Linked DNA regions of Yarrowia lipolytica. The protein of the gene in region 3 purifies or fractionates together with the protein of the main gene of each other region. This does not show direct contact. Links are inferred from orthologs where the notes say so. Each region holds a gene or a part of one and is shown on either strand. Other genes may lie near its edges. The genes, in order: YALI1_D28518g, YALI1_E40691g and YALI1_D18770g.

Evidence for each region.
Region 1: the proteins of YALI1_D18770g (region 3) and YALI1_D28518g purify together in Saccharomyces cerevisiae (affinity purification with mass spectrometry, with the first as the bait; 3 studies listed by BioGRID). This does not show direct contact. The link is inferred for Yarrowia lipolytica from reciprocal best matches to the Saccharomyces cerevisiae genes MAK21 and UTP20.
Region 2: the proteins of YALI1_D18770g (region 3) and YALI1_E40691g purify together in Saccharomyces cerevisiae (affinity purification with mass spectrometry, with the first as the bait; 3 studies listed by BioGRID). This does not show direct contact. The link is inferred for Yarrowia lipolytica from reciprocal best matches to the Saccharomyces cerevisiae genes MAK21 and NIP7.

What each region holds. Positions count from the first base shown.
Region 1 is NC_090773.1:2,845,978-2,856,699, reverse strand, and holds the start of YALI1_D28518g (uncharacterized protein), read left to right. Parts: upstream 1-4,278; coding exon 4,279-4,320; intron 4,321-4,625; coding exon 4,626-4,903; intron 4,904-4,958; coding exon 4,959-10,722. Other genes in the region: YALI1_D28537g (uncharacterized protein), read right to left, coding at 1,787-3,052. UniProt on the Saccharomyces cerevisiae protein: Involved in nucleolar processing of pre-18S ribosomal RNA and ribosome assembly.
Region 2 is NC_090774.1:4,064,798-4,073,410, forward strand, and holds YALI1_E40691g (ribosome biogenesis protein NIP7), read left to right. Parts: upstream 1-4,328; coding exon 4,329-4,871; downstream 4,872-8,613. Other genes in the region: YALI1_E40647g (uncharacterized protein), read left to right, coding at 1-494; YALI1_E40671g (uncharacterized protein), read right to left, coding at 773-2,371; YALI1_E40718g (uncharacterized protein), read right to left, coding at 5,211-7,019; YALI1_E40744g (uncharacterized protein), read right to left, coding at 7,824-8,613. UniProt on the Saccharomyces cerevisiae protein: Required for proper 27S pre-rRNA processing and 60S ribosome subunit assembly.
Region 3 is NC_090773.1:1,873,196-1,884,439, reverse strand, and holds YALI1_D18770g (uncharacterized protein), read right to left. Parts: upstream 7,390-11,244; coding exon 4,099-7,389; downstream 1-4,098. Other genes in the region: YALI1_D18833g (uncharacterized protein), read left to right, coding at 1,102-2,928.

The DNA.
Region 1 (10,722 bases), about 970 kb from region 3:
CGAGTAGATTGAAGGTATGGGGGCGACTGTCGGGTTGGAATGGCGGTTTCGGATTCCCGATCGGTTGCGTATTGGTGGAGTTAGTAGGAAGTGGTGAGGTTAGTACAATGAACACACTGGAGGCTGCTGGGTGGTGCAAGGGACTGACCAAGAGGAGGTAGCGCAAAGGGAAAAAGACAGGTGGATTCAAGAGAGACAGAGGGAGCCGGGACCACCGTGGTATTTATGTTAGATGCCGTTTTGAACCCCACAAACGCCCCGACAAGGACAAAACACGGGCCGACTCGCTTATCCGCAAATTTCAAACTTTATTGTTGAGTCACTGAGTAAAGTGGGAGGGGGGAGCGACAAGAGTGCTGGATAATGGAGTGTTTTGGTATGGCACGGGGTCGGTTTTCACCGGTAAATCTAGAGGTTAGGATGAGTGAATGTGATTGGTCCATTTTACAAGGGCGGTTTTCACACATGAATCGGCAGTAATGGCCGCTGTTTGTTGCGATTGGTGTTTGTAGAGTCACTGGCATGTACCATGCGAGTAAATTGTCTGTTGAGACGTTAAGTCAGCAGACATGTGTGAAAAGACCCCCGAACTCGGTGTGGAACGCCTTGGATATTGCAATTGAGGGCCGCTCTGAATTTTTGCAATTTATTTCTGGTTTTCTGGGGACAATAACGGATATTGAAAACACGCGGCCAAAAATATCTTTATCGTTATCTCACACCAGGCAGCAAACTTTGTCATCGAGCAGCAACAGTCGGTAGCGGGGGGTTGTAGACAAGCAAAAAAGGCGAAAATAATGAATGCGAAACCACCGGTCACGTGACAAATAATGGGGCTAAACTGGCTCTTTTTTGGCGTCATTCAGTCACGAGGTTGAATCACTAGTTGGGGAGTCGTGAATCACTGAGTTGAGCCGTGAATCACTGAGTAACGGAGTTGAATCACCGAGTAACCGAGTTGGGAAGTCGGTGAATCACTGAGTTGAAACGAAAGGGTGTCACTGAGTAAGAAAAGGGGTGTGGAATGATAAGTGATTGCGGCAGTCAAAGGGACTCAGCTTGAAAAGTGATCAAGCCATTGTTTACTATCAATGAGTACAATGTACGTTACTGTAGACAAGATCAGCAAAAGATATCGTAGAAAATAACGGAAAAGTGCATCTTGTTTATAGAGTCTTTGGATCCAAATATACCTCTAAATCCCCCACCTGAAACACTCTTAGGGTCACCCCGCTCCCCGATCCAGCTTTATGAAGCGTGCGTTATGATGCGTGCGGCTTCCTCGGCCCCAAGTGTGGGGTAAATATGCAACTTTTTTTTAAAAAAATACAAAAAATACAAATAATTCACCCGAAACTTATACGGCGGTTATCGGTGGGACCCCGGAGATTGAGGTCGACCAGGAGCAGGAAAGAAACCGCAAATAAACAATTTCGTTTCCAGACTTTTTTTTTTTTTTTTTTTTTTTTTTTTTCGAACGGCGGACATTTGTATCTCGACCGGTAGTGTCAATGTCTAGGTGTTACCTAGCTACCAAGTTGTCTAGAGTGAGAACAGGGCTTTTCAACAGATGTAGAACAAGAATCTGAGACTGGTTGTAGAATTCATTCTACCTCAGTGACTAGCCCATCTTCCATACGACCATGTACACGTGCACTGGATGTACGTCTGTTCGTCTGGCTCTGGTGATGTCGGCGTCATCGGCTAGAGGGGAGTCACACAGTTGCGATTGTTGTGCGTGTTTCAACGTCTGTTAGGAGTCCCATCAGATCCCTTCTGTTCCACGTCAGAAACTCTCCCGCTTTGATGACATACTCATCCAACTCTTGCCAAAAAGATCCCCCGTGGTCCACTCCCTGGTCACCGGTCGCCGTCCACGCGCATCGTCCTCACTCAAGCTCACCGCCCGCTGTTTCAACACCGCCCGCAGCTCAACAGGCAGCTCGGCTCCATGCTGGCTCTTGTACTTTTCAGCCAGATATTTCATGGTGTACCTCCAACACCCCACAGTTCCATGGCTCAGACCAACCATCAACAAATGATCTTCGGGCTCGTTAGCTCCGTTGTAGTCGGCGAAAATGTCGCTGGAGATCTGCGACAGGATGCTCTTCTGTCGCTTCTTCAAATCGACAATGCCAGTAACTAGACCCGTGGACTTGTATATCAAACAGTACTGCGAATGCTTCTCGTCCTGGTACACTCTGTGGAACTTGTCTGGGGGTCTGTTTCTGTCGGACGTGATCCTGTGAGTGACTCTGGTGACCGAACACCGGTATCGTCCGTCCATATCGACATTGTAGACATTTCCATCGTAAAGAACCATGCCGGCAGGAGGCTGTCGCCGTTGAGCGTGTAGCATCTCTGAACACCGTGTAGGAGTGATCAAGTACAGGACTGAGGTATGATCGTGTCTTCCAAATACATAGACACAGTCTCCGATCACCTGCAGCCGCAAGGGAGGCTTGCAGTTCATTTTGATCGACTCAGGAGCCTTGTTGGGGTACTTGACCGTCAACATCAAATGGCCCTGATGCACAGATATTGCTGCAATGGCCCGGGACGTGTGTCTGGCCTGAATCATCCGTCCCTCGACCGTCACCCCAAACCCGTGGTATTTGATGGTTGTTCCTGCATCTCCAAAGCTCACCCCGTAGTTGCAAGGCACAGCAAAGTCCGTGTTCAGATCGCTGAGGTCCAGCTGCTTCTCGTTGAAGCAAATGCCCCGGTTGTTGTAGTCCCACGAAAATGTGCGTTCCACGTCGGTACACAGGCACTCAAAGTCGCGCGGCAGAGGCGAGTCAGTGTGGAAGGAGCATTCCACAAGGTCAATGAACACGTCAATGTGTCTGTCGCGCACGTAATGGGCGCCGCCGGTCCTCCAGCTCCCGTGCTGGCTGTATTCAAGGCGGTAGTAGGGGCACTGCTGCATCAGCTTGTCCCGCACCAGCGACTCGGAGATGGACTGGCGGTAGTGGCGGTTGGTCTTTCGCAGCGCAACAATGTCTGCCAGCTCGAGATAACTGCAGATTCGTTCAATCAGCTCGGGCAACATTGGGTGTTGTTATGGACGGCTTCTCCACCTCCCCCCCAACGGTAAATCTTGCTCATGTTACCCTGGGGGTTTTTTTTTTTTTATCTCTTAGTGCCATTTCCGAACCACTTGCGGACTAGGCGGAAGAAAGGGCAACCGAAAAGAGACTGATAGCCCTCAGTTATCGGCCTCCCTGCAGGACCATTTGTGGACAGGTGTCCCCTGTTGCATAATCGGCCAAATATATACGAGCATGGGGGAAAAAAGAGGTGGGTCGTCTGTTGATAGGCTGGACATAGATTCGTGTAGAGAGTCGAAGATACGACACTATCGACGGCTAGAGGAGCTCGTAAACAGAGCCCTACAACTAGTTGGGTGGTGTAGAGAACAGCTAAGGCCACACCATGGACCGTTTAGGAGCAGTCTAGAACCACCGATACCGAAGCTAGTGGAACAGGCTAAGTTTCACGGCGATTATCGACGCTTGTGGAGCCACTCGACGCTAGTTCTAGACTTGTTGCCATGTGGATAAAGCGATCCATAGTCGTTTTAGCGCTGTTTTATCTGGCGAGTGCTTTCGTCAAGTGTAACCGGGCAATGTTGAAGTTGCAATGGTGAAGTTGCAATGTGGAAGTTGGAGAATGTCAGTCTGAGGTGTGAGAGACTCCGCAGTCTCGAAGGGTAGGAGCACTAGGACTGTGCAAATAAATAAATGAATAAATAAATGGAATAAATAAATGAATAAAAAATAAAAAATAAAAAAAATAAAAAATAAAAAAAAATAAAAAAAAAAAAATAATACAGAAAAAAAATATTAAAAACAAAAAAAATCTTTTTAGAACAAAAAAAAAAAAAAAAAAAAAAAAAAAAAGCGGAAAGAACAGCGTTAAAAAATACTGTCTTGAAAAAGAAAAAAAAAAGACTTTTTAGGAAAAAAATTAGCAAAAAAACAGTGTTAAAATACCGTTCAGTTACTTGACAACCCCTCCAACTACCAAGTTACTTGAAATCTACCGCTCAGTAGCCACCAATATGTGACTACCAAAACACCACTGAAATTAAACACCAAAATAAACACCTCAAACACAAAACAGTCACTAGAATCGAACTCACATCTCCGAACCACCCTGGGTACAGTACTATCATCACCACTAACCCTAACCCGCACATGCATACTGCAAGTCTAAAAGATATTTTTTTTCGAGAGGTTGAAACAGACATCTACGAAATTTCAGAAACGGTCCAACATGGTTCTTAAAACTGGAACCGAGTCGGGTAAAAACCACCGAGTGAGTATGGGCGACATGGAGGGCACATGAGCTGTTGGACCGCCTCTAGAGCGATTGTGAGAGGAGTGGAGCGCCATTCCATGTGGATCTGCAAACAGTAGCCGAAGACGGATCTGGGTGGCAATTTGGAGATCGATTCGAGCTACAAGTATCGTAGACGGTTTTCATGGGTCTGTACGAGCATACTGATGTCACTAGCTGTGCTTACTGGGCGATCGCCACCGCCAGGATCATAGCTCCAGGAGATACGTTAGACCTACCGGATCAGCTGTTGGGCTGAGACATTCAATTCCATACTAATGCAGTTCAAATCGTTCCGAGAACGTCTTGATGCCATCAAGATCGATCCGCTGAAACGGCAGAAGAAAAAGCTGTCGCGGGACACGGACACGTCGCATTTCATTGCATGTTACACGACCCATGTTGAGCTGAACTTGTCCACCAGCTTCACTCGTTTTATGGAAAAATGTGGAAAGTACGCCGTGTCGCTGCCCATGGTGCTGTTCCACAAGGAGGAGATTTTCGATGGTTTGGAGGAGTGTCTGGAGGATGGAAATGAACACAGTGTGGAGGCCCTGCTAGAGTGAGTATGAGAAATGGAGGATGGAGAGGAAGTCCCCGATACAGAACTAACCCAGTCTACTCACCAACTTTGTCCGCGACCTGGGCGAGGAGTTCGAGCCATACTTCCCCCGAACTCTCGCACTTCTCATCAATCTCACCTACCACTTCAATCTCGAGGTGGTCGAGCACACTTTCAACGCAATGGTGTACATTTTCAAGTACCTGGCTCGTCTATTGACTAGCAACCTGGTGCCCCTGTACGACAGCGTCAGTGTACTTTTGTCCCGAGGAGATGAAGATGTGCAGATGATTGAGAACGGAGAAGAAGACGAGGAGGAGATCCCGGAGGAAGACTCTGACGACGAGGAGGATGACAAGCCCAAGCCTAAGAAAATCAGACCGTTTGTGCGAAGATTTGCCTCGGAAACACTGGCCTTTCTGATCCGAAAGTGCTCCCAAGACGGTCTGGACGTGATCGTGCCGCACGTGATGAGCACGCTGGAGGGCTCGTCACGAGATTACGTCTCTGCCGTCTCCGCCATGTTTGCTGCGTCTATCAAACACACCAAGGGAGCTCTTCATTCAAAGACGGACTTGATTCTTCAAGTGTTATTTGCATGTGCGGCTTGTGACGACAACACAATCACCGAGGCCGACCGAGTACACGTGACCATGATTTCAGAGACTTTGGCCGTTGTGCTGGAGCATATTGAGGACCCTGTCATGGGCCAGGCCGTGTTTGATACCTTTTACCAGTATGCCCAAGGCAACGGTAACTACGATACTGTGACCTATCTGACTACTATAACCGCCATCCGAAAGGGTTCCCGAGTTCCTGATTGGGCTCGAGTCTTCCAGGAGGCCAAGGCTTTCTGCTCCACTCTCTCCGACAAGGCCATTGTCGAGTTCGCGCTCCTGGTGGTCTCGCTCATCCAGAACGGCGCCCAGAGCAATGTGCTGGCCAACCATACGTCCTTGCTCACCACTCTGTCGTCCAAATCACGTGAGCAATACTTTGTGGCGTTCCAAATTCTTGCCAAGGTCCAGAGTCAACGGTTCACCGATATCTGTGTCAAGTACATTCCTCAGTTGATCAGCATGTTCTCTGATGATCTTTCGCAGATTGCACTCTTTGTCGACAGTCTGGAGAAGATCAAGTGTCTGGATGCCTGCAAGGTTCTGAAGAAGGAGATTGTAGCGTTTGGCAAGAAGAACATGTCCACTGAAACAGTCTTCAACCTCTATTGGCGAATCAGAATGTTCACCAAACTTTCTAATGTCGATATGAAGAAGGAGATGACCGAGTTTGCCATTGAGCTACTCCCCAAGCTCTCCGCTGACGACGTGTATACTGGAGCTCTTTACGGAGTCACTCTGAGTCTGATTGGGTCATTGGGAGACGATAAGCAGCTGGTGGAACGAGCCCTGGGCCGCCTGGAACACTTTTCACAAATCGAAGGCTACATTACCGGTCTGCTGGCCATTTGTGACTCTTCAACCAAGCTGGATGACTCGTCACTGGTGCTGCTGACCCAGAACCTGACCTCCGCAAACACCCACGTGCGGGACGTGACGCTGAGCCTCATTTCGAAGCTGTCACGTGGCCAGAACGCGCTCGTCAATGAGTGCAAGGTCATTTCATCCATTCCGTTTGATTATACCACGTTGCGGTCTCTTGTTCAGCGAATCGAGAAGCTCGGAGAAACCTTCTCCCTGTCTGGGTCAGATACGATTGCTGATTCAGCAGTGCCTCATTTCCTGTTTGGACTTCTTACTGTTCATTTTACGCCAGCTCACGAGGCTGCCATCAAGGCCCTCAAGAATGTTGCCGAACGATTTCCGGAGCTGGTGTGGAAGTTGTCCTACAACGTTTTGCAGGCACGTGACCTGGTCAAGGTTGATGACGACTGGGTGCCCGAGCCACGTCATGTTCTGGACAGCCCCTTCACCGACTCCATGTCTCCCGACTATAACTTGAATGGTTTGTTTGAGACGTACAATGAGCTTGTTTCTCGCGATAGCAACGGAGCTCTGTTTGAGGACTTTTCCGAGTCGGCTTTCCCTGCTGAGGAGCCCTTTTACCTGCGAAACAATGTGCTGAAGGTGCTCAAGGCTGTTCCTCGGGTGTCTGAGAACCATGTGATGGAGCTGGTTCCCTATCTTCTTTGGACTGAGGGTGTTTCTCGAGATAAGCAGGCTGTTGAGTCTTCCGAGTATGGACTTGCCGACTCGTGGACCCTCAAGGACAAGATTGTGTTGCTGGACATTTTTGCTCTGTTTCACAACACCAAGAACTGTCCTCGAGCCGAGGAAATTTATCAGAGATACCTGCTGCTTCTGACCAACAAAATGAACTCTGTTCAGAAGGCAGCTCTTCAGTGCATCCTATCCTGGAAGAACAAGGTGGTTCGCAAGTACAAGGACAATCTGTTCAACTTGCTGGAGGACTCGCAATTCAAGGACGAGATGCTGAGCTTCCTCAAGCCCTCAAAGGACCGAGTTTTGCATGAAGACGACGAGCATGTCATCTTCCCTCTGGCGCTCCGGATTCTCTACGGACGATCTCGAGTGGTCAGCAAGAGTGGACCGCGGTACGGAAAGCGGTTCGCGGTGCTTTCCACTCTTCTGGCTCTACCCGAAAAGTACACTCGCATGTTTGTTTCTCTGGCAATCGACCAGCTGGAGATTCCCAAGGACTTTGACATTCTCGGTGATGACCACGTGATCGAGCCCAATCCTCGCGACCTGGAGACCCTGTCGGGCAACTGCGAGACTCGAACTGCGGCGTCTCAGATCTTCTTTCTGGAGCTGGCCATGGATCTGGGTAAGCAGATTGGAGCCAAGTTACATTCGTCCATGGACATTCTGCTCAACTCGGTGCTGTATTGTATGCATTATTCGTGTCTGATTCCAGACAACACCTCAGCTCGTCGAATGTCTCGGTACGGCTTCAAGGTGCTGACTCAGCTCTTCCTCAAGATAAAGGACTTTGAATGGCAGCCCTACCTGACCCCGATCTACTACCCTTGTATAGAATCTAAGCTGCCGACTTTTGTTGCTGGAAACACCAAGCGACCCAGTGCTCTGCTCCAGATCACGTTTCTGTGGGGATCACGTGCGCAGGCCTTTCCCCTGTTTGTGTTTGAGGAGGTGGCTTTGCTGAAGCAGGTGGTGGCTCTGTTGAAGGTGTCTGATCTGCCCGACTCGACCATCAAGGACTGCATTCTGCTGTGGTCTTCGATTTTCGCCATTGAGGATCAAGTGAATGCTGGCGAGTTTGATCACGTGGTCGACTCGACGATTCCTCTGTTGTTGCCCCGCATTCCCGCCCTGCTGGACGAGCACAGGCGCAACTTTGACGTCGTGACCACCATTGCAAAGCTGCTGGTGATCACGTGTCAGAAGGGCTATGCACGTGATCAAAAGGTCAAGAGCGATCTGATTGCTGTTGTGACCGATCTGGTGGTGAACAACAAGGTATCGTGGTCCATTCAGGTGTCTCTTTTGAACGCTCTCACCGAGCTGGTTCCGGTGACCACCCTCGCCAAGGAGCACGTGACTGAAATGTATCTGAACCTGTCCACTCTTTTCCAGACCATCAAGTTGCAGAGTGCACGTGACGCGCTGGTGAACGCCTTTTGTGTTGTCTGCACCAAGCTTGGAGGTGTCGATCGCACGGCTGAACTTGTCAGCCAGCTTAACTCGGTTGGCAAGCGGCTTAATGAGCCCGACTGGGACACTCGAATGGCCGCCTACAACGATATTACTCAGCGGGAGTTCTCGTCTTTCTCTGCCATGGAGTGGACTCCTCTAATTAGTAACATGTTGCATTTCATCCGTCTTGACGATCTGCCGATCCGACAGAACTCCACTCTGGTGCTGATGCGGTTCTTCGAGTCAATTCAAGAGTCCCAGCCCGACAAGATTGAGCTCATCGACGACATTGTCATGCCCGAACTGGTGGTGGGAATGCGAGAGCCGCAGTTCAACATTCGAATCGAGTTTGTTCAGGTTCTTGAGAACCTCGTCAAGTTGTCTGAGCGTCATTTGTTCGAGCCCCTGAACGACCTCGTCACTCTTTTGGCTCCCAACAAGTCCGCTGATGCCAACTTTTTCTACAACGTGATGCATGTGCAGATTCTCCGACGACAAAAGGCGGTGCAGTATCTCAACTACTTTGTCAGAAAGGGGGCTATTTCTTCAGACAACATTGCCAACCTTCTGTTGCCTCTGATTGAGCATTACGGAAAGAGAAACAACCAGGAGACGCAGAACTTAGCCCATATGACCTACAAGTGCATTGGTTCCATGACCCGGTTTGTCACCTGGGAGCAGTACGTCAAGATCAGCAAGCGGTTCGTGGGCTACCTCCGAAAGGGCTGCCAGAGCCTGAAGCAGGCCTCCAGAATGCTAGCTGCTCTTGGTGTGGCCTTCACCGAGGACGACTCCCGCGAGGAGGAGGACGAAGAGGAAGAGGAGGAAAACACCGAGGAAATTGCTGAAGAGGTCGAAGACGAGGCCATGTCTGATGACCGTGAGAACTACTCAGATGCAGTCTACACTGTTCCACGAGCTCCCAAACTCATCTCCATGGACACGTCTCTGTTTGGAACCACCTCTACCCCTGAAGAGAGATCCGCTTTCCTGCTGGAGAACGTGATTCCTCCCATTCGAAAGACTCTTCGTGCCCACTCCAATGAGCAGCTCACCGACCGAATCCCTCTCGGTATTCCCGTCGTGCGGTTCATTGTTGCTCTGCCTCCTGCCCAGGTCATGACCGTGCTGCCTGGTACCCTAACCACTCTCTGTCAGGTTATGAGAGCCAAGCAGCAGGAGCTCCGAGACGAGATGCGGAAGCTTCTGGGCCAGATTGCCGAAATTCTGGGGGCCAGGTACCTGCTCTTCCTACTGCGAGAACTCAAGTCTGCGCTCCGACGAGGAGCCCATCTGCATATTCTGGGCTACACTGTCTGGTACATTTTGTCCACCATGACTCTGGAGCACGCCGATCTCGATCCTGTGGCTGCTCTGTGTTCTGAGATCATCATGGAGGACGTCTTTGGAGTCACCGGTACCGATAAGGACGAAGAGGACTACCGAAGTGCCATGAAGGAGGTCAAGACCCAGCGGTCCTACGATACTGCCGCCATTCTGGCCTCCAACGTGTCTCTGGAGTCGTTCTCCAAGCTTATTGACCCGGTAAAGACGATCCTGCTGCATAAACGTCTGACCCTTGGAGTCAGTGAAAAGGTGGAGACCGTTCTGACCCACCTGTCTCGAGGTCTCAAGCGAAACGCGGCCTCCGAATCGCAGTCTGTGTTGATCATGTGCTTCGAAGTGTGGAAACTCACCCAGACAATTGAGAGCAAGTACAACGAGGAGGAGGAGGCAAAGAGCCAAAAGATTGTGGCTCTGGACGACAACGAAAGCGATTACATCGTGAACCTCGACGCCAAAAGTCACGTGACTAAGCTCCGGGACGGCATGCACATTGCCAACCTGAATCTGCTTGTGGCCTTCACTTTCGACACTCTCAAGAGTGTTTTGAGCAACAATCCCGAGCTCCGAACTGCCAACAACCTGTATGGCTTCCTACAGCCTCTCACACAGTCTCTTTCAAACACCCATGAGAATGTTCAAGTTGGAGCTCTGCGAGTCTTGTCAATGATTTGTGACTTGGATTTCCCTGACATGGACTCATGGACTCAAAAGTGGGGCACTGAGACGCTCAAGATCATTGCCAACTCGTCCGACACCAAGACGCAGCTGGTTCAGAACGCCTTCAGACTGCTGACCAAATTGTTTGAATGTTCTGAGTCGTTTGAAGTCAAGGAGAGT
Region 2 (8,613 bases), on a different chromosome or scaffold from region 3:
GCATATTTGTTATCAGGTCGGAGTTGGCGGGACTGAACTTTAGCAACTCTGCGGTTCACGATCGAGGGGGGGTGGTGTTCCGATACAAGGTTGTGTATTGGTATCTAAGTAACCTCCTTGTGTACCCACGCTGTGTACTATTGCAATGTTTATTACAATTATCCCCAAGTTCTCTAACCATTGCTAAGGTCCAAAAGCTCACTCTCCACCTTCCCCCATTCCATCATCACCACAAACAGTGTAGCAGTTCTCAATATGAGAAACTCTGCGTGAACGGAACTCTGAGGCAAAGCTGGCTGAAAGTGAAAAAAAAAAACAAAAAAACCAAAAAAACAACGTGGTTGTCGGGATTGCAGTGCCGTGTGAAAATAATGAAGGCGGTGTGGCTTCAACAAATATACAGCCAAGACATTAATAGTCGTTTTTTAGACTGGCTAGCGTTTGCTGCTGCTTCTGCGTCTTCACACGATAATACACTACCTGTTGTCTATTGACATTCTGGCAAGTCCTATCTCAGGGTACAAAAACAAGTACATACCTGTACAATTACTCGTAGGAGGAGTACAGGAACGAATTCGTTCACCTGAACACAATCCCCCAATATCTGATAATCTTCCTTTCCCTCACCCCCTCGCCTAATCTAACGTTCATACACATGGTTTATGCGAGTGCCATTATCGATAGCGAGTTATGAATATAGATAGGATTAAGTTATATATGCGATTATCGCAGTCTTTTATTGTAAGTCCGAGCAGAAACGGAAGTGTTACGCTTAGTAAGGAACACCAAGACCCTCGGCGATCTTCTTGCCAAGATCGTCGCTGATTCGGCCAAAGTACTTGGCGACCTGCTCCTTGAGACCGTGCTGCTTGATGGTGGAGGCATGGTCAACAACGTTGTCAATCATTCGCTGCTTGGCAGCATCGTCGTACACTCTCTCGTACAGGTCTCGGGGTTGGGCTGCATCGCTCTCCTGGAAACCAGACAAGTACAGGTATGACGAGCTCTCCCAGATCTTCTCGTTGTGCTTCTTGGCAGCCTCGGCCTGGACCTTGAAGGATTCGTCCTCCATCTCCTTGGTGACCACTCCGCAGTAATCGTGAGTGTTCTTGAAGTCCTCGTTGGGTACGGACACGGACTGGATGGGTCGGATCGTCGACAGGTAGTTGGGTCGGTTGCCCTGGTTGTGGATGGCCATGTTTCCGTCTCGCTGGAAGTTTCCGGCCATGAATGGGCAGCCAGATCCCTTTTGGAAGGTTCGGGCCTGGTTGACAGGCAGCTGGTTGAAGTTGGGACCCAGTCGATGTCGAGCAGTATCGGGGTAAGAGAAGAGTCGGGCCTGGAGAACAGGATCATCAGAGGCTTCGATACCGTGGATCAGGTTGGAGGGAGAGAAGGCGGCCTGCTCAATCTCCTCAAAGAAGTTCTCGGCGTTCTTGTTGAGCACCAGCTTTCCGACCTTTCGCAGAGGGAACTTGTCATAGGGCCAGGTCTTGGTCATATCCAGAATGGAGTATTCCCATTCCTCGGCCTGCTCGGGAGTCATGGTCTGAAGGGAAACGGTCCAGGAGGGGTAGTCTCCGTTATCGATGGCAAAGAAGAGATCCTTCTGGTCGTGGTCCGGGCTCTTTCCAGCCATCTCAGCAGCCTCGGGTCCGGTGAAGTTCTTGACTCCCTGGTCGGACTTGTAGTGGAACTGGACGTAGGTCAGCTTGCCCTCCTTGTTGATCATCTTGTAAGTATGAGTGGAGAAGCAGTTCATGTGTCGCCATCCATTGGGGGTACCTCGGTCTCCAAACATGTACACCACCTGATGCAGAGACTCGGGGTTCTGGACCAGATAGTTCCAGTAGTTAGAGGCATCATCTCCGGCAGTCAGGTTGGTCTGGGGGTCTCGCTTCTGAGAGTGGTTGACATGGATGAACTTGACAGGATCTCGAATGAAGAAAACAGGAGAGTTGAGACCAACCATGTCCCAGTTACCCCAGTCGGTCTTGTGCTTGACAGCGAAACCTCGGGGGTCTCGAGCAGTGTCGGGAGAGCCTCGCTCACCACCAACGGTAGAAAATCGCACGGTGGTGGGGCATTTGTAGCCAATCTTCTGGAAGGGCTCGGCGTATGTGATGTCGGAGATGTCATCGGTCACCTCAAAGTAGCCATGGGCTCCTCCTCCGTTGGCATGGACGACTCGCTCGGGGATTCGCTCTCGGTCGAAATGGGCCAGAGCGTCAATCAGATAGGTGTCCTGGAGCAGCAGAGGGCCGGTAGGGCCGGCCCGCTGAGATGAGTAGGGATGGTGGGGGTAAGGAACTCCAAAGGAGTAGGAGTAGACAGCGTCGTCCTTGGAGTTGGCGTAGAGTTCTTTGGACATGGTGGATTGATCGTGGGGGCTGACTACAGCTACACTCCGCTTTATATACGGATCCGCCGCCCAAATATGGCCAGATAGCAATCATCTAGGTTGCAGACCACCTGCGCCACGGTTCCCTGAACAACGTTACAGATCAAACGGTAAAGCCAATTGCAGCCGGGGTCCAATGAGAGGAGAAGTATTGCTATTCAGGCGGCATCCTGTGCTTTGGAGGGAGGTGACCGTGTTCAATGAGGTGCGACAGGCCTGCTTTTGGGTGTGGGTCTGCAGCATAGAATTGTGTCGTAGTGGAGACACCAACCAGCCGGGTCATGTAGACTCTGAGGAGTGCAATGATCCAGGGATAAGGATTGGATGTACACCTGGATGTACACCGCCGCCACCACCACACTACACTTCCAATATGTACAAGAATTTCAACACACAAAGGCCAGAAGCCGCCGCACGTCATCTAGGTTGAGTATCCCGCGGGTTACGAGTACTGGGCATCAAGGCACCAGTTCTGAGCTTATGGATGTCACCTCCCAAATAGAATTAGCAACCCTACTTGTACATACTGTGCACAGGGAGACAGGCTCGCTTAAGCAGGTCTGTGATGACTGCGATGAGATGAAAAGGCTGCAATTAGAAGTGTCGAACGAGTTTGGAAGGTGGAACAAAGCTTCTCACTCAAAACCGGTTGTGACTTGTGCTGGACACAGTCGACTTGTACTACAGTACCACCAGAAGTAGCTCGATAGTGATTACCCACTTCCGTGGACAAAGACCCCCCACATCCACCAAGGCATCCACTCTGCATCCGTCTGCATTTTGTTACGCCAGCCCCGAGACACCCCCAACTGGATGTGATTTAGCTTCAACTGGTGGTGAAGAGAGAAAGAGCATCCAATGAGGTTGGGGCACTTGTCAGGAGACACAGACACAAAAAGGATTGCAACACACTGTCGCTTCGGAAATCATCACTCCATGCTGCTTTTCGAGCCTTCTGTGGTCCGTACTGTACAGTACATGATGTGGTGATGGCAAGAGGAGCCGTGCCTGCCTTGAACACTATTTACTATTCACCGACATGTGCGAGACGAGACGCTGTATTTGCACAGTACAAGGGTCAGAGCGGTAATTGGACTACACGTCTCAGGTGGCGTTTCTAACCCTCATTATCTCGGACACTGAGCACTTTTGCTAATATGAATGCTTTTATTGGTGGGTTTAACCATAATCAGTCCATGACAGCACAAGTAAGTAATTAGTGTCAGGTTGAGACAATAACAGAAAGCAGAGACAAGACAGACAAACTCCAGATGGCGAGCTTAGAGTGACTAAAGCAATTACAGTACTTGTACGAGTACACGTACGTACTGGTAGTTTTGGTGCATTGCTGCATCTGATGTGATTAGAAATATAGGTCTAGGAGGTCTTGTGTTTCCAGACAGATCCCGGTATTCCACTTGTAGCTAGAATCCAGATAACGCACAGCTGTATCTTTCACACACCATCGCTACAGAATTCAGTAGATGGGCTGTGCAGGTTGTAGGTTTATCTTCAATGTCCTGTCATTATTAGTTGTTTCAATGCCAATGGGGCTTCACTTGTGGTTTGATAGTTTTTTATGGATTTTTCTTCGATTTTTCCTACCCTGTTTCGTTAAATTATTTTTATTCTCAATATGTTTCGTTTAGGGTACAATGCTCCTTCGCTGCTTACAGTTCATCGATGATCACAGTCTTCGACGAGCATAACGTAGATCCGTACAGAGATGTGTTGCGTTCCAATACCAACAGTGACGTAATCAACAGTGACTCTATGCTTCTATTTCATTTACTTTCGTTTCTATACTTGGACGACATTCTCCTTTCTTCCCGCTGACTAAACATCTGTGCGGCTCGGAAATATTTTTTCTGCGTTTCCTGCAAGGCTAAATATTTTCAGCCCTCAGCATCAACACATACCACACACAATGAGACCTCTGACCGAAGAAGAAACGAAAACCGTGTTCGAGAAGCTCGCCAACTACGTTGGACGAAACATCTCGCACTTCATCAATAACGAAGACCCTCACGTGTTCCGGCTCCAGAAGGACCGAGTCTACTACGTTGAGGAGAAGATTGCCAAGTATGCCACCTGTGTGTCTCGAGCCCAGCTCTTCTCCGTTGGCACCTGTCTCGGCAAGTTCACCAAGACCGGCAAGTTCCGACTTCATATCACCGCTCTTCCTCTCCTCGCTGCACATGCTCGACACAAGATCTGGATCAAGCCTAACGGAGAGATGCCCTTCCTCTATGGTAACCACGTTCTCAAGGCCCACATCGGTAAGATGAGCGACGACATTCCCGAGCATGCCGGAGTCATTGTCTACTCCATGAGCGATTCTCCTCTGGGCTTTGGCGTCAGTGCAAAGTCTTCTCTGGAGGTCCGACGTCTGGACCCCACTGGTATGGTTGCTTTCCGACAGGGAGATGTCGGCGAGTACCTGCGAGAGGAGGACACTCTTTTCGCCTAAGCAAAGAGGTACGCTACGGAATTGGGGGTTGTTTTATAGATGGAGGCAAAAAAAACTGACACGCATCAGCACAAACGGGCTTCAATGTGCGTTTTGTGCATCTACCATGGATCGGTCTTTATCGGTCAATAAAATAATGAATGGATTTGAATTTACTATAGACGAGATTTCGTGTCTATGTCACATTACTACAGGATTAAAAATAATCAGCTATAGCTACCGTATACGTGGACATACGTAACAGCTTTCCATGACTTTAGACATGATTACCTACTATACCCAAAGCGAATATAATACACCTGTATTTCATACATGTAACCATTTTTGAGCCTTCACCGCTTATTTCTTTCCCTTCTTCTTCTTGCCCTTGGCCTTGGATTTGACCACAGTGGTCTTCTCGGCAGTGTTGCTTCCCAGCTCCAGCGAGTCGTCCACAGCTCCTCCCTGAGTGTTCTGCACCTTCTTTCCCTTGACCTTCTTGGGCTTGTAGGTGGATCTGTCTCGCTTGGCGAGCCATCGCTCAGGGTCGGGGGTCACGGCAGGGTCGGCGTTGGCAGGAATCTTGGTCTTTCGCTTCTTGGAAGTCTTAGTAGACACCTCGGCAGATCGCTTCTTAGACTGGGGGATAATGACGCCGACCTCCTCGAGGTTGTCTACATCGACACCAGAAATGAGATCAGGAATCTCTCGGGTAAGAACCTCCTGGGTGCCCAGAGCTCCAGACAGAGCGATTCGGGGAATCTCGTCTCGGGGCTTCTTCTCCACCAGCTTGAGTAGCAGGTTCTTGGCCTTCTTCTGGTTGGAGGGCTTATTGCTCTCGAGCAGCGACAGAGCGTATGCCAGGGAGGCAGAGTAGGGGGCGCTGTTCTTCTGCCATTGGGTGTTGGCCTTCTCGATGAGCTTGAGAGCCAGCTTTTTCTTACCCATGAGACGCGCGATGGACGACGTAGCTGCAATCAGACCAGGGTAGGGAGCCAGGTTTTCGGGTAGGGAGTTGATGTAGGTGGTCAGAGCGTCGTAGGCTGCCTGCAGACGACCCGTCAGAACGTAGGCCTGTGCAATGGCAAGAACAGAGCCAATGTTGGTGCACTTGGGGTCCCGCTTTCGCAGAGTTTCTATGAGGTCCTCGAGATCGCTGTTTCCGTTGGTAGCAGCAACCACCTGGGCAGACACGAGACCAGGGTAGGTTCGGGTGAGCTTCTTAGCCAGCTTAGAAGTGTCCTTGCCAGCTGATCCCTCTAGAATCAGCCGGTTGAGGGCAAACACCTTTCGCTGGGCCTGGATGGCGGGTCCGTTGGGGGCAGTGGGGCCCTTGGCGGTGGAAGACAGACCCAGGCCGTGGTCTTGCAGCTTTCGCAGAGCCACGTTGGGGTTGAAAGTGATATCGGGAGACAGCGTGACGGCATTGTTGGCGGCAACGAGATCGGTCAGACCACTGAGATGCGAGCCGGACTCGGCAACAGAGTCTAGGATTCGCTTGGCCTCAGCAGTGTCGCCCTTGAGTTGGTGAATGTATGCAGCCTGGATCTTGACGGTGTCAATCTCCTCCGCGGGCATGTCTGCCTCGGAGCACGCGACCTGGGCCTGCGACAGTAGATCGAGCGCTGAGTCATACCGGCCCTCACTGAGCTCGGCGATGGCCCGGTTGAAGAGGAAGTCGTGTGACGACTTGGCTGTGGATGTCATGGTCAGGGGGAACACTCCCTGTCTGTGCAGCGCCTGTTGGGCAACGATGGCGGACTCATTGACAAGCAGATCCAGCTCGTCTATTCCGGTGCCCAGCAGCTCCTGTGTGAGCTCGTAGGCTCGGTCAAAGTCCTCCTCCTTGTACGCAGCCTGCGCAGCAATGTGGATCAGCCGTGTATCCTTCTGGGCCGTCTCCAGCACCTTGGCGAGCTCAGCGTGCTTGCCCTGGCGATAGTAGATGTAGGCGGCCTCAAATTCCAGGCCAGTGGTTCCCTTGTCCTGGAGAACCTGCTCGGCCTCGTCAAACTTTTCCAGATGGATCAGAGCCACCAGCTTGTGTCGCTGGATGTTGAGGTCCTTGGGGTCATATTTTTCGGCCTGGCACGCGAACGAGTACGCCTGGTCGTGGGCCGAGGCGGCACTGCTCACGTTCAGCTTGTCGATCAGAGTCGTGAGATCCATGGTTTGGTGGTCGAGATGGTGGAGTGAAATTCGGGATGACCTAAAAGTTAACTCACGTGCTGTATGGAAATTTCACTACATGACGTAAAGTATGTACAGGGACGGAAATACGACCTGATAAAACAACCTGGCCGAATCTGCTTCGAGGGGGTGTTTGATCATCCTATTTTCTTCTCAAATCTACACTCTCATCGCTACCCCGCAGTCTGTATAACCACCGCAAATCTCAAGGTGGCCTTAACATACATCAACTTTATTTTCCACTCAAAATCCAGGATCTGGTGGAGCATAACAAAACAGCTCCCTCAACTAGAATCTTAAGTAAAATCGATGGCTGGGTTTTACAGAGATGACAATAATTTCAAATTATGTGTGATGAGGTAGTATTTATGGCAAGTAGTCTTATTCAGTGCCTTTATATATTTCGGCAGGTGTATTTTCCAAATCTCTACCAGATCAGGATCCTCGAATTTGTACCCCCAGCTGGATTTAGTAGTCAAGTAATTCCAACTAAACTTTACGACCCATAGGCGACTTGTTGCTGCACACTCATTTCTCACTGAGTCGCATTTAGCTATTAAAAGTACTACTTGTAGTGCACACCCATCGTTTACTGTTCTATGTATAGCACAGGACATTCCCTGTTGAGTTATCTGGCTCTATCAAGCCACTGGCTCTATCAAGCCACTGGCGTATCGCGTGTACTGTTGTCACCTACGCTGGAGCACAAGTACAGTATGTACTGGTAGTTGTAGTAGAGTCGTAATGGGTCATAAATAAATAAATAATGCTACTTGTAGTGTTTTACATGCATACCGCAAGGCCTAGAGCCAGCGACATCACCCCCATACCCAATGCTACCCGCTCTCCTGCAGACCGAGGAGCTCCCATCCCTGTTGGAGGGATTTGAGGTGGTCTGGAAGTACTGACTCCAGTGGCTGGAGCGTCTTTGAAAATAGTCTGAGAACCCGAAATCGGCGTTCCATACAACTGGATCAGGGCTCCAGGCTTTGAAGATGTCGGGGAGGCACTGACCTGGATCGTGAATGGCTCTGAGTCCAACGGAATCCTGCTCTGGCTGCCTGAACTACCTGGAACAGTGATTCCTTCGTATGTAACAACTCCTGTGGGGTCCGATAACACTACTCGTGTCATTCGATCTCCTCCGGCTGTGGGGTATTTTGTGGTGTTGAATTGTGGGATGCCGTAAGTGTATTCAATGTCAGGCTGGATGATGGTAGTGGCATTCATATGCCTGGCGAGAGGTCCTCTCAGTGGAATAATGTTTGGCTCGTACGAAGGAGACTGCAGAGCTCCCTTTCTGAGTTTTGCAATAGACACCTCCTTGGAGTCCACATCAAATGAGGTGTATAGGTTCTGGAGAAAGTTGAATCCCAGAACATTATATCCTGTGAATTCCGACGTTGAAAACGTGACTGCACAAGCCTCTCCTCCCCCTGTAAAATTCACAGCCTTACCAAACCCGTCTGTGAGCGGCATCAGCACATCGTATACAGACATGGAGAAGGTGATGTTACTCAGCTGAATGTTAATGAATGCGCCGACATCTCGCAGTCGACAGTCACAAATCCAT
Region 3 (11,244 bases):
GTGTTACGCTGATTGGTTGAGATTTGAGTCACTGGGAGATAAGGGAGTCATCGAGAGTCACCGGGAGTCATTGGGAGGTTCATACCTGAGTAGAGTTGCAATTCAGATGACTCAATTGAGTCATGCAGAGTAGTCATCTGAGGACCCACTTAAGCGACTCATTTTGACTCCTCCTGCAGTTGGGAAGTTGGAGGTGAGAAACGTGGTAAAAAGTTGAAATTGGGCGTGAGCTACTCACCTCGGTTCGCACATACTCGAGTAGATGAATATTCTCGATCTCTATAGAAGCGATGATTCATTGGCCCCTCAGTATGTACACGGTAGTGTACGTCATGGCTGAACATGTATGTACGAGTGTACAAGTGGTGTAGGAAGTACGAGCTGGCGTGCATGTTCACTCGGAGTATGGTGGACTAGACACAATGTGGAGTGTTCGCTGTGTTTGAATCCGACGGATGTTTATCGCTGTGGAAACCTGAAAGTGCACAGTGTCAAATTACTGGACATGGATGTAGGACATGTTATTCAGCGTTGTGCCTACTGGTGGTGAGTCTTCGGTTGGGTTGAAGGACCAGGAGCAATGGACTCAGTACTCGAACAACAAGTGGTACGAAAACAAGTACTTGTAGTACGATCCTGTGTACCGGATATCAGTAACATCGGCACTCAAACATCTTCAATCAAAAGGTCCCATTGATGTGTAACGGGGAAAGCTTTGTTGCGGCTTCATGAATCTGTTGAACACGTTTATTTAGACCGCACATCTATTTTGCTACACCATATTTGTCTCTTCTGGGAGTTTTTTTTATTTTTTTATTTTATATATTTATATATTTATTTATATATATATTTATTTATTCTCCTTTTTTCCAAATTTTCCGTACTGGGGCCTTGAAACAACGACTTCAGTTTTTTTTTTGTAAAACGTCGGACGCGCCCACAATGGAGCCTCCCAATTCTGCAATATTTACGTCCCGATTTCGGCTCGAACCGACAACCTCTAACCTTATTTCCCACAGCTTCTTAGTTTTAGTCACATGACCCCCTCTACCAGCCACCTACGATATTACTCAACACATCGAATTAATAGAACGAAACCCCATGGAGAACTGGGACGACGATTTCGGCGATGAGGCAGACCTCGTGCTGCGCGCGTCTACCTCAACGGTCTCCTCTTCCGAAGACAACGATTTTGGTGGTCTGATACACAAACTGGGCTCCAACGCGACTTCAACCACCAAGTCGCCGATAAAACGACCTGTCACGAATATGAAGAACTTTCGCAGTCTGGATGACATGCCGGACTTTACGACATTACAAACAGTTCTTTCCGACGACGATTTAGAAGGATTTGACGACTTTCCCACTATCAAGGGCAAACCGCTGACGTTGAAACCACAGATAAGCATACAGAAATCCAATAAAACGACACAAGGGAAGCACCAGTCGCGAGACACTGATTGGGGAGACGACTTTGAAGATGGATTTGATCTCCCTACAGACTTTACCCCTCTTTCCGTTCGCAAAAAGACAATTTACCCCAGTGGCTTGGACGTTCCTGAGCCCGTGACGCCTACACGTTCTCCATCAAAGGGCCGCGAATCGCCCTCTACGTCGATATTCTCACCCGCTTCTTCCCACTACTCTGAGACAGACGCGCCGGAAGGCGACATGTGCGAGGGTTTCGATTTGCCCAACCTAGACAATATCGACCTTGGCAAGGTGTTGGAGGAACGCCAGAGAGTCGCCGAGGCGGAAGCAGAAGCCGAGGCAGCTCAGTGGCAGCAAAAACCAGCCCAAGATGACTTCTTTGACGGAATAGAGCTCAACGACGACTCTTTCGTGAATGTCAAGTCCACTGTCAACAAGAACATCTTGAAGAACGGAAAGTCCGTGGGTAAGCTTCAAAAGCGGAGGGCAAGTCAGAACACCTCCGGCTCGACAATGCGTGGCCTATCTCACATGCCATCTTTGCCGTCGTTGAAACCAGCTTTAAGAGTCAACCCGAGTCCAAAGCTAGCATCCAACACTAGACAAATCCGACCGGCGCAGTCCATGGTGAACATTCGAGACCGTCGCAAACAGGACACAGTCAAGGTGGACTCGTTGGAGAGTCTTCGCAAGTACAACACTGTGAAGACGTTGAGTCGACCCAAATCGCGAATCCAGTTCGATGGGTTTGAGCTTGATGATCTGGATGATCTGGATGTGGCACGAGATGCCCCACGCGACTTTGGCACAGTTACACGCGACTCCGTGAAGCCTTTGGAGGCCTACCGCGAAAGCACTGTGCGGAATCCGACATATGCATCCATGCTCAAGGCAAAGGGCCCTACGTCCCGTGAGAGCGGAGGGTCGCGTGATGGGACAATCAAAGCCCGTGACCTGGGCGGTGCTGGACCACGCGATGGAGGTGGAACGGTCAGAGTGCGTGAACCCCGGTTCCGGGCCAAACGTGGCCTCATTCGGCCGCTAGGAACTCACTTCACACCCCCGACTAACTCTTCCATGTCGTTCAACCCTACAACGATGTTGTGGGAAGGTAATGACGTCGATCTGAAGCGATTTGAGTCGGCTAAACCTGCTCTTCTTGCATTCAAGTCGACTAAGGGCGCACAGGTTGTTGGAAATATGTATTTTGACCCCGTCAAGCTGTGCTGGAAAAGCATGGAGGTGGATATTGACGAGCTTGAGGGATTGGAAGACCTGGAGGAGGAGCCCACTTCCATTGGTTTTGGAGGACGGGGTTTCAGTGGAGCAGCTGACGGGCATGAGTTTGATCTTTCTGATGAGTTTGTGTCAAAGTTGAAACATCAGGAGGAGAGATGGAACAGGAAAACAGCTGGGTGGTTCGAAGTGGGAGCCAAGTTCGATAGAGACTATTTGTGGGATCTACGAAAGTTGATCACCAATACCGCAAAGAAGTGAGGCGAAACGAACACAAAGAGATGACCATATTTATAGAGAGTATCAGTAATTTAGCTAATGAAGTTGCTGCGCATGTTTTTTTACTACATCCACCGAAAACATGAGCCTAGATTGCTTGAATATTGTTGTGATATTATACAGTATGTAGACATCCGAGCACGGGAGTATGTTTTTACGAGGTGTGACGCTATTAATTAATTCTTGATTGGGCCAATTCTCGATGGAACGTCCGGTGAATTAATCTCTCCATTACTTTTACTATTATTTGTAGATTTTCCATAAATAGTAAAATTATTGTAAAAAAAATTGCTGTAAAAAAAATTGCTGGTACGCACTTGTAACCCAAATATAATCCATCATCTATTCCTACCCGTCATGAACTCAATCTTGCTCTCTGCATCGTCTATCAACATTGACACAATGTCGACCCTAGAAGAACGAATAGCGGCGTACGAAAGTCCACAATGCAATATTCTGGATGGATTTAGCCACGAGAAGATTGTGAGCTCTGGACTAGGTCTGCTATTTGTGGGGCTGTTCATTCTTTACAAAGATGTGAAGTCGGAAGCATGGGCCTGGAGGGAGATTATCACGACCTTTGGGGTTGTGTGGCTCGTCGCGTGGCTGGTCATCCATTTTCGCTTGAACAAAAGCAAAGACAAGCCCCAAGTAAACGTCAGAAAAGGGATTGAATGAGCCTCCCATTGATATCGGCGCCTGATCCGTTGTATCAGAATGGCCATGCCTTGTCAAAGCGTACTTGTACAAGTACGTTTGTATATACACTTATTAGAATTATATTGCAAGCTTTTGTAGTGCGGAACATGCTTCCTCTTTTTCTTCTCCGATTTTGTTAGATTATTTCTGATTTTTGACGATTTTATAAACATTGTTGGATAAATATAACTGGATTATCCGTACAATTTCAACTCTTACTGTACAGTAGTATGTACATTCGTAAAATGGTATGTATCTACACATACAAGTGTAAAGTCCAGATCACTTCAGACCTGGAAGGTAACAGACCGAACCGGTTGTCTGGTTGTCTGGTTGTCTGGAAACGTGTGATCCCAGAACCATCTGGAGATTCCAGACTCTTTGGTCGCCAAGTTATACAAACAGCAGCTCACATAAAACAATCTATTACCATAATCTATTTTCATACACCCTCTAAGAAAAGTCCTCATCATCGGATTGCAGGTACTGAGCGTAGTCGTCCATGGAGCCGAAAGTAGGCAGGTCGGAAAACTTCTTCTTCTTCTGCTTCTTGTCTCCATCATCACCGGCCTTTCGCTTGAGAGTGACCTCGTCGTCAGAAGCAATGAGGTTATCCTCATCGTCAGAGAAGTCTAGAGCAGGCTCATCATCAGAGTCAGCAGCACCTTCCTCATCCTCGTCTTCAGCTTCTTCGAAGAAGGCGGCCTCGTCCTTCTTAGAGGGCTTCTCAGACTCGGACTTCTCCTCCTCCAGATCAGAATCGGAGAAGTCGGAGAAATCTCCCTCCTCGAGCTCACCATCAATCTTGTCGAGCTCAGGGTCATCAGAGAAGTCGTCCATGTCCATATCGATGTCGTCTTCTTCGGGATCAATGTCGGGTTGGGATTTCACCATAGCATCCCAAACTTCGTCGTCGTCAAGTTCAGAATCACCTCCGATATCCTGGTACTCATCCTCCTTGGACAGCTTCTTGGTCTCCTCCTTAAGCTGCTTAGGCTGGAAGTAGTTATAGAAGAAGACATCCTCGGGGGCAACCTTGTCCTTGTTTCGATCCTTCCACTCCTGAACGTTGACGGGCTGGGCAGTGTTGGAGCCCTTGAGTCCGACCAACAGGTTGTTGGCAGCAGCTCCACCAGCCAGAGGCTGCATGATAGAGTTACCCTTGAGCTTCTGCTGCTGCTTGGGGTTTCGGTAGACGAACTTGTCGAGGAAGTGGGCCAGAGAATGCAGATCAAGATCGGGCTTGGCCAGAGACTCGCCTCTGTTGACGTAGTTTTCGGCGTAGGCAGTCACCGAAGGGTGGTAGTGTCTCAGAAGGAACTGAAGCTCGTAGAGAGAGGTGGTGTTAGCGTTTGCGAACAAGGGGTCACGCTTCTTTCCATCGTAAGAGTCCTCCTTGTGGGTCTGAGACTCGCCGCTATCCACCGACTTTTTAGAGGTATCAATGTTGACCATGAGTCCATCATCTTCCTCCTCCTTGACATCTGTAAACTCCTCGAGGCCGGTAGAAACGTTGGAGAGGGCCTCCACACCGCCAGAGATCTTTCTCACTTCTCCCAGAAGGTAAACCATACCGACTACTGAGCCAGTCTTGAGCCATCCAAGAGCAACTTGCACCATTCGCTTAGCAAAGGCCTGGACTCGCTGAACGTTGGTGTCAGCCTTGATACTTTTGAACAGCAGGTTGAGGTATAGTCCCTGCTTGGAAGAATCAACAAGACGGGGATCAAGGAGGGACTCGTAGAGAGTTCGGTAATATCGATCCTTTTGAGCGTCCTGGCACACTTGGAACAAGAGAGACAGAGCCTGGATGGCTGTACCGAAGTTGGCAGAGTGAGTAATTCTGAAAAGGGAGTCAATGTGCTTAGAAAACTCAGCCTCTGTCAGATTAGAAAAGGGGAACGCTCGGTTCAGGCCAGAGAGAATAGCAGAGATGAGTTTCTGGTTAGCTTCGTCCTTCTGTGTCTCGACAGTCTTCTGCTGCTGCTTGACACCTCCCTTCTTACCCTTGCCGGCGTTGTGACGCGACTTATGCTTGCCCTTGGTATCCTTAGCGTCCTTCTTTGTGAGATCCTTGTCGAAATCGGCCTCGTTCTCCTTTAGCACCTTCTCAAACAACAGGAAGTAGTTGGTGACAAGAGTGTTGGCCAGATCAGTGTCCCTTGATGTAAGAATACTCTGGTTGAGGGTGATGGCAGAGTAGTACTGGGAATGGTAGTCAGAGCCGGGTCGGAAAACAAGCTCCCAGATGGAGTTGATTACAATACCCTTCATGGCAGGGTGGGCCTGCATGAGCTGAAGCAGGTGGTATGACGTCTGAGAGCAGACAACGGTATCCTTGTCACCCAGCTTGTTGACAGCCAGTCGGAGCAAGTTGACTTCCTGCTCAGGCTTGGCCTTGAGAAGGTCGACAATGTGGGCTACCACCGAAGACCGCAGATGGGTGACAGTGTCGTGCGAAATTCCCTCCATGATCTGAAGCAGCTCAAAGTACTGGGTCTTGAGCCAGTCTTCAAAAGCCCAGATGGCGAGGTACTCAGGTGCCGAGTTTTTCTGGACAGGCTGGTTCTTGAACCATCTTAGTTTTCGATCAGGAAGAACACCAGCGTTGATAAACAGGTCCTTCAGAGCCTCCAGACCCTGGAGAGCAGAGGTTCTGCCCTTCTTCTTACAAAGGTACATGAGCTGTTCGAACGACTTGAGATTGTGCAGAGGAGAGTCGTGGATAAGCAGGGTGTAAGTGGAAATCTTATCACTCAGAGTACCGGAAGTGAGCATCTGCTGCATGAACGTTTGTTGCGACGATTGCTGGTTGCCCTTGTATGTGTCTTGATCCTGCTTGAGCAGCTTCATACCCTGATCCTTCAATGACTCGACGTCAGTCTCTGAAATGGGTTCGAGGGTCTCAGGCACGTCAATCTGATGGTTGTACCAATCAGGACGAGGAGGCACGGCAGTGGGAGTCTTGATGTCCTGGGGGAGAGACATGGCCTCAATAAGCTTCTCCTTGGCAGAAGGGCCAGTAGAAATGATAGGCTTAGCGGGAGCAGGCTCGTCGTCAGAGTCAGACTCGGATTCTTCATCGTCCTCCTCTGTGTCCTCATCCTCGTCATCCTCCATCCCCTCATCATCGTCCTCCTCTTGTTCCTCCTCAACGTCCTCATCCTTGACATCCTCGACGAGTTGAGGAACGTCTCCATCGAGTCCAATGTCCTTCATGAACTTGAGCAGATCTCCAGAATCAATCTTGGAGCCGTTTGAAGGGTTCACAACCACATCATCCTCTCCATCAGACAGGTCCTCCACGAGTTTGAGATCCTCTTCGGTTCCTCCGAGCTCCAGGATCTCGGCCAGCAGAGAATCAGGCTTGAATTCCTTGGTCTTGGTCTTGGTCGACTTGTCCGAGCTGGAGTCCTGGCTCTTGGTCCTGGACCCCTTACTCTTCTCGGTCTTGTCAGATCCCTTGGTCTTCGAGGGCTTTACCTCAGTGACCTTCTCTTCCTCCTTCTTGCCGAACTTGGATTTGTTGAAGTTCTTGGCCTTCTTCTTCATGGCTTCAGCCTCCTCCTTCTTGCGCTGCTCATGCTCCTTCTTCTTGGCCTCTCGGGCATCGTTCTTAGCCTTGTTCTCAGCCTTGACGGCATTCTTGGCGTCCTTTTTCTTGGAGTTTTTATCGTTGGCCGTGTCCAACTTGGCCTTGATTTTGTCGGCCAAATTGGAAAACGACGATGTTTCCAGTGACATTATCGATGTGTAGTGCTGTCGTGGTGGAGAGAAAAATATCCTGCATCAAAATCAACCTTCAGATATTTTTTTCAGTCGTGCATGAACCTTAAATTATTTTCAGAGGTTATGAATGGAGAAGGACGGCAAGTAGCGATTTGAAAGACCTGATATGAGAATAAATACAGCAAGAAAAAATAATTACAGCTATAACAAACTTATAATCTTTTTTATGATTTTTTTTTTTGTATTTCTTGAAAAATCTTTTTGAGAGATGAACCGCGATAGTGCATCTTAAGTTGACAAACAGTGACATCCCCCGAGAGAAGTGAAAAACAGAAATTCTGCTCTATATATGGGTTTGTATTTACATGAGCTGGATTCGGGGGTGGCTCCTGTGTTTCCAAATGATTGCTTTGTCACCTCTTCGTACCCTGTACAGTACATACAGGGTATACGAGGCTCGTTATATGTGTGTAAAAGTGCTTATACAATTTGAGAAACACGTGATTTTGCGAATGAATCAGTAAAAATGGAAGCAAATACTTGTAAAACTCGGATATATAACTTGTAAGTATTTGTACATTGTGCTTCTACCAAGTTCCTCATTCTCTGTTCTACCCGTACGAGTACATACTTGACATTCGGTCGATCATGTCCCTGTACATACACAACAGTTGTACCGTACGCCGGACATGTGACCTTGTGAGTTCTCTAGATTGATCGTAAGGATGATACTACCCTATCTGTTTCAATGAGTCAGATATGGTACCTGTTTGAAACTTCTGGGACCCGTGGGAATCAACGGGTGTCACTAACAGCCACTAGCAATGTTCAGACCAAAGAAGAAACGAAGGTGTCTGACGGGAAAAAAACATAGAACCAACGATAAAATTGCCCTAGGGACTGCTCGACCCGATGTGTTGGCGTCTCATGTGTAACCAGGGAAGTAACAGCGGCCCTCCCGAGGTTCAACATTGTGATACTGCACGGTATTCAGACTGTAGCACTGTGTTTTTGCACGGTCGAGTATCGCATGTACTACAAAGTAGTACCTACTTTTACTCGTGGAGATTCTCTTGTGATTCAGTGACACGTTGATACCTGCGACTCAGTGCTCTGCAGCGTCATTACTTTGCAACTATGCTTGGCCATCGTACATTCCCGAGTCGATCACGTTTCCCCAACAGGAGTAAACACTTCGATACGGTTTATGGCTTGACGTTCATCACGAGATCCGAAAAAGCAAGCACAATATGTGGATTCTGGTGATTATTCTAGTCTGCCTGAACGGGGACTTCAGATACCACTTACCATGGCTACAAGTAGGGTACAAGTGTAACAGTCCAAGTCCCTTGAGATACTGGGGTTCACTTTTCACGGTTTGGTGATGATGACAATGTCGATCTTTCTTCTCCACACAACCGGCACGATATATCATCATTGACGCTGAAACAATTCACATGCTGGTTTCAGAGCCTCACCTGAGCGGACTGAGACAGAGCAAAGAGTGAGTAACTGGCTACAATAGAATCAAAAGACGCTTTGGCGAAGCAAAACGCTGCTGGTTCACACACACATATCGCTACATTAATGGTCTAAAATGTCTCAAATACTGGAGATGGATGATACATGGAGCAACTCCGGGGGGCAGTAGATATGATAAAACACTACTACAAGCAGCCATACAATTAGATGGCCTAAGTTTTCTACTGTATTATAACGTGAGTAAGAGAGCTTTTGGACTGTCTAAGTACAGTACATTCCCGTACCCACCTGTACTTTGCTTGCAGACAACTGCAGTCCTGCTTCAATTAGGTCGATGTCCGACATATCCGGAATTCAAAGCACTGTGGGTAAGTACTCAAGCGCCGCTCGTGCCTGATTCAATCACGTTCAGACACGTTACTTCGGAAAGCTGGCACCACGGTTATCGAAGAGAGTCATTAAACACGTGCAACCTAGGTTGGGCCGTTGGAGGCCGCAGGCTAGTTCCCATAGCCACTATCCATTGAATGCTGTTGTTTTTACACCTGTGGACAATTCGCTTGCAATAGTACATCCAAGCAGCCTCCATGTGAAAGCAGCATACATTACCATATCGAGCACAAGTGGTAGAGATTAACATTCATTCGTCATGTGGGGGGTGAGGGCAGAGAGAGCCTCGTCACGACTACTCACCGTGTCGCCAATGCCGGCCTTGAAACTGCTGCTACACACGGTTTTTGCGGGGGAGCCATCCACGGAGATGTTGGAAAGATAAGAATGAGACAGAGACAGAGAAAAAAGAGCTGGAGCCAAGCAGAGAGACGGAATCGAAACAAGACGACGAAATGCAGCTCCTTCACTACATACAGTACAGTAGCGTGATGAGGCCACACAAAAAAGTACTTGCGACTTGTCTTCACACCAAGTGGTCATTTGTTTTTCATGATTCAGTTATCACTCACACGGCTCGGTTGGGTCGGTTAATGCAAACCAGGGCGTTTAGTTCATCGGCTCATCGGCCTCATGCAGATGAAATAAGCAACGAGTAGGAAATAAGAAACGCAAAAAAAGATCCTCGAGGCTGGACAAGTCATGTGATGGGATTGTTAGATACTACTTGTACGGTATGTTTAGTTGAACCCCCTCCCCCCCTCCCTTGTCGTTGTACTGTTGGTTTCGGCACTCCAAGTACGGATTAACGTTACACTACACGCCATACGGCGGCCTCGGCATGGTTCGGAGGTCACCAAAGCGGCACTGCTGTTATACTGAATTGAGAGCAGAAAACTCGTGAAAATCTACGGCCTGGTAGTGATGGTTGTAACGTGTACATGCTCATTTCTTTTATACTGCAGCCGGACTCCCTTGCATCAACTAATACCTCAACTGTGAGAGGCTGCACTTTCCTCAAGAAGCAAAAAAATTGGGTTCGCGTAAGAAACTCAGTTTTCTATAAGGCACACTTTGCATCCCTCCTGTATCTTATCGAGATGAGATATGACACATCTGACGTGTCAGACTAGTTAGCTGAACATAGATGCGGTTGTCTGGGCTCGCTGCGCCTGCCAGTTGTGCTCCAACCCATCGCTAGAGACCACCCTACCTGCTTGCCGATTTTTGACATCTCAGAAATGGCCTGATAACTCAGACGTGCATATAATCTTAACCCTATCGTAACCGAAAATATGAGAACCCTCGTCCTCCTTCCACAACATGGGCGAAAATGCTAGTATCCATTATAATGGACTTGTGTTCAAGCACGTTCGATTGGGGGAACGTGATGGTCCCGATTTCGACCCCTCGCCCACCCCAGATAGTTGGGTGGGCAGTGGCACAAAAATGTGGTGTCACTGCAACACACACCAGGGCACTAAGGGCGCGTTTGGTGGCTCTTGCAAAAACAGCTATAAATAACATCCGAAACTCCGATTCAGCGTACTGTCTGCGTCTACCATGTGGGGGTTGATGATTGTTCATAGCCTGGGACGTGTCCACGAGACGGTAACTACGCAAGCGGCACCGTCCATAAAAGAACGCGAAACCAATTAGGCACAAACATTGCCTCCAACAACAACAACAACGGCGATTCGAAGCCGACACAGCCGTATTGAACGTGTTGAGACGGAAGACGGTTAAGCATTGCGTTAGATAGCGATTTTGGATACGAAGAATGGAAAATGGATTATCGCAAAATGGAGTGGAGGCACAGTATGTACATGCCTACGATACCATACTTGCACCGGTATCGTTCGTACCTGTAATTAGCCACCTTGTACAAGCACAATCTGTATGTCCCCAGCAGCTGTAATCATAGGCAGTTTATGCAATAGTAAGGGGTTAATAAAACAGACACGCCTCCAACTTCCAACCAACACTGGTAATACTGCT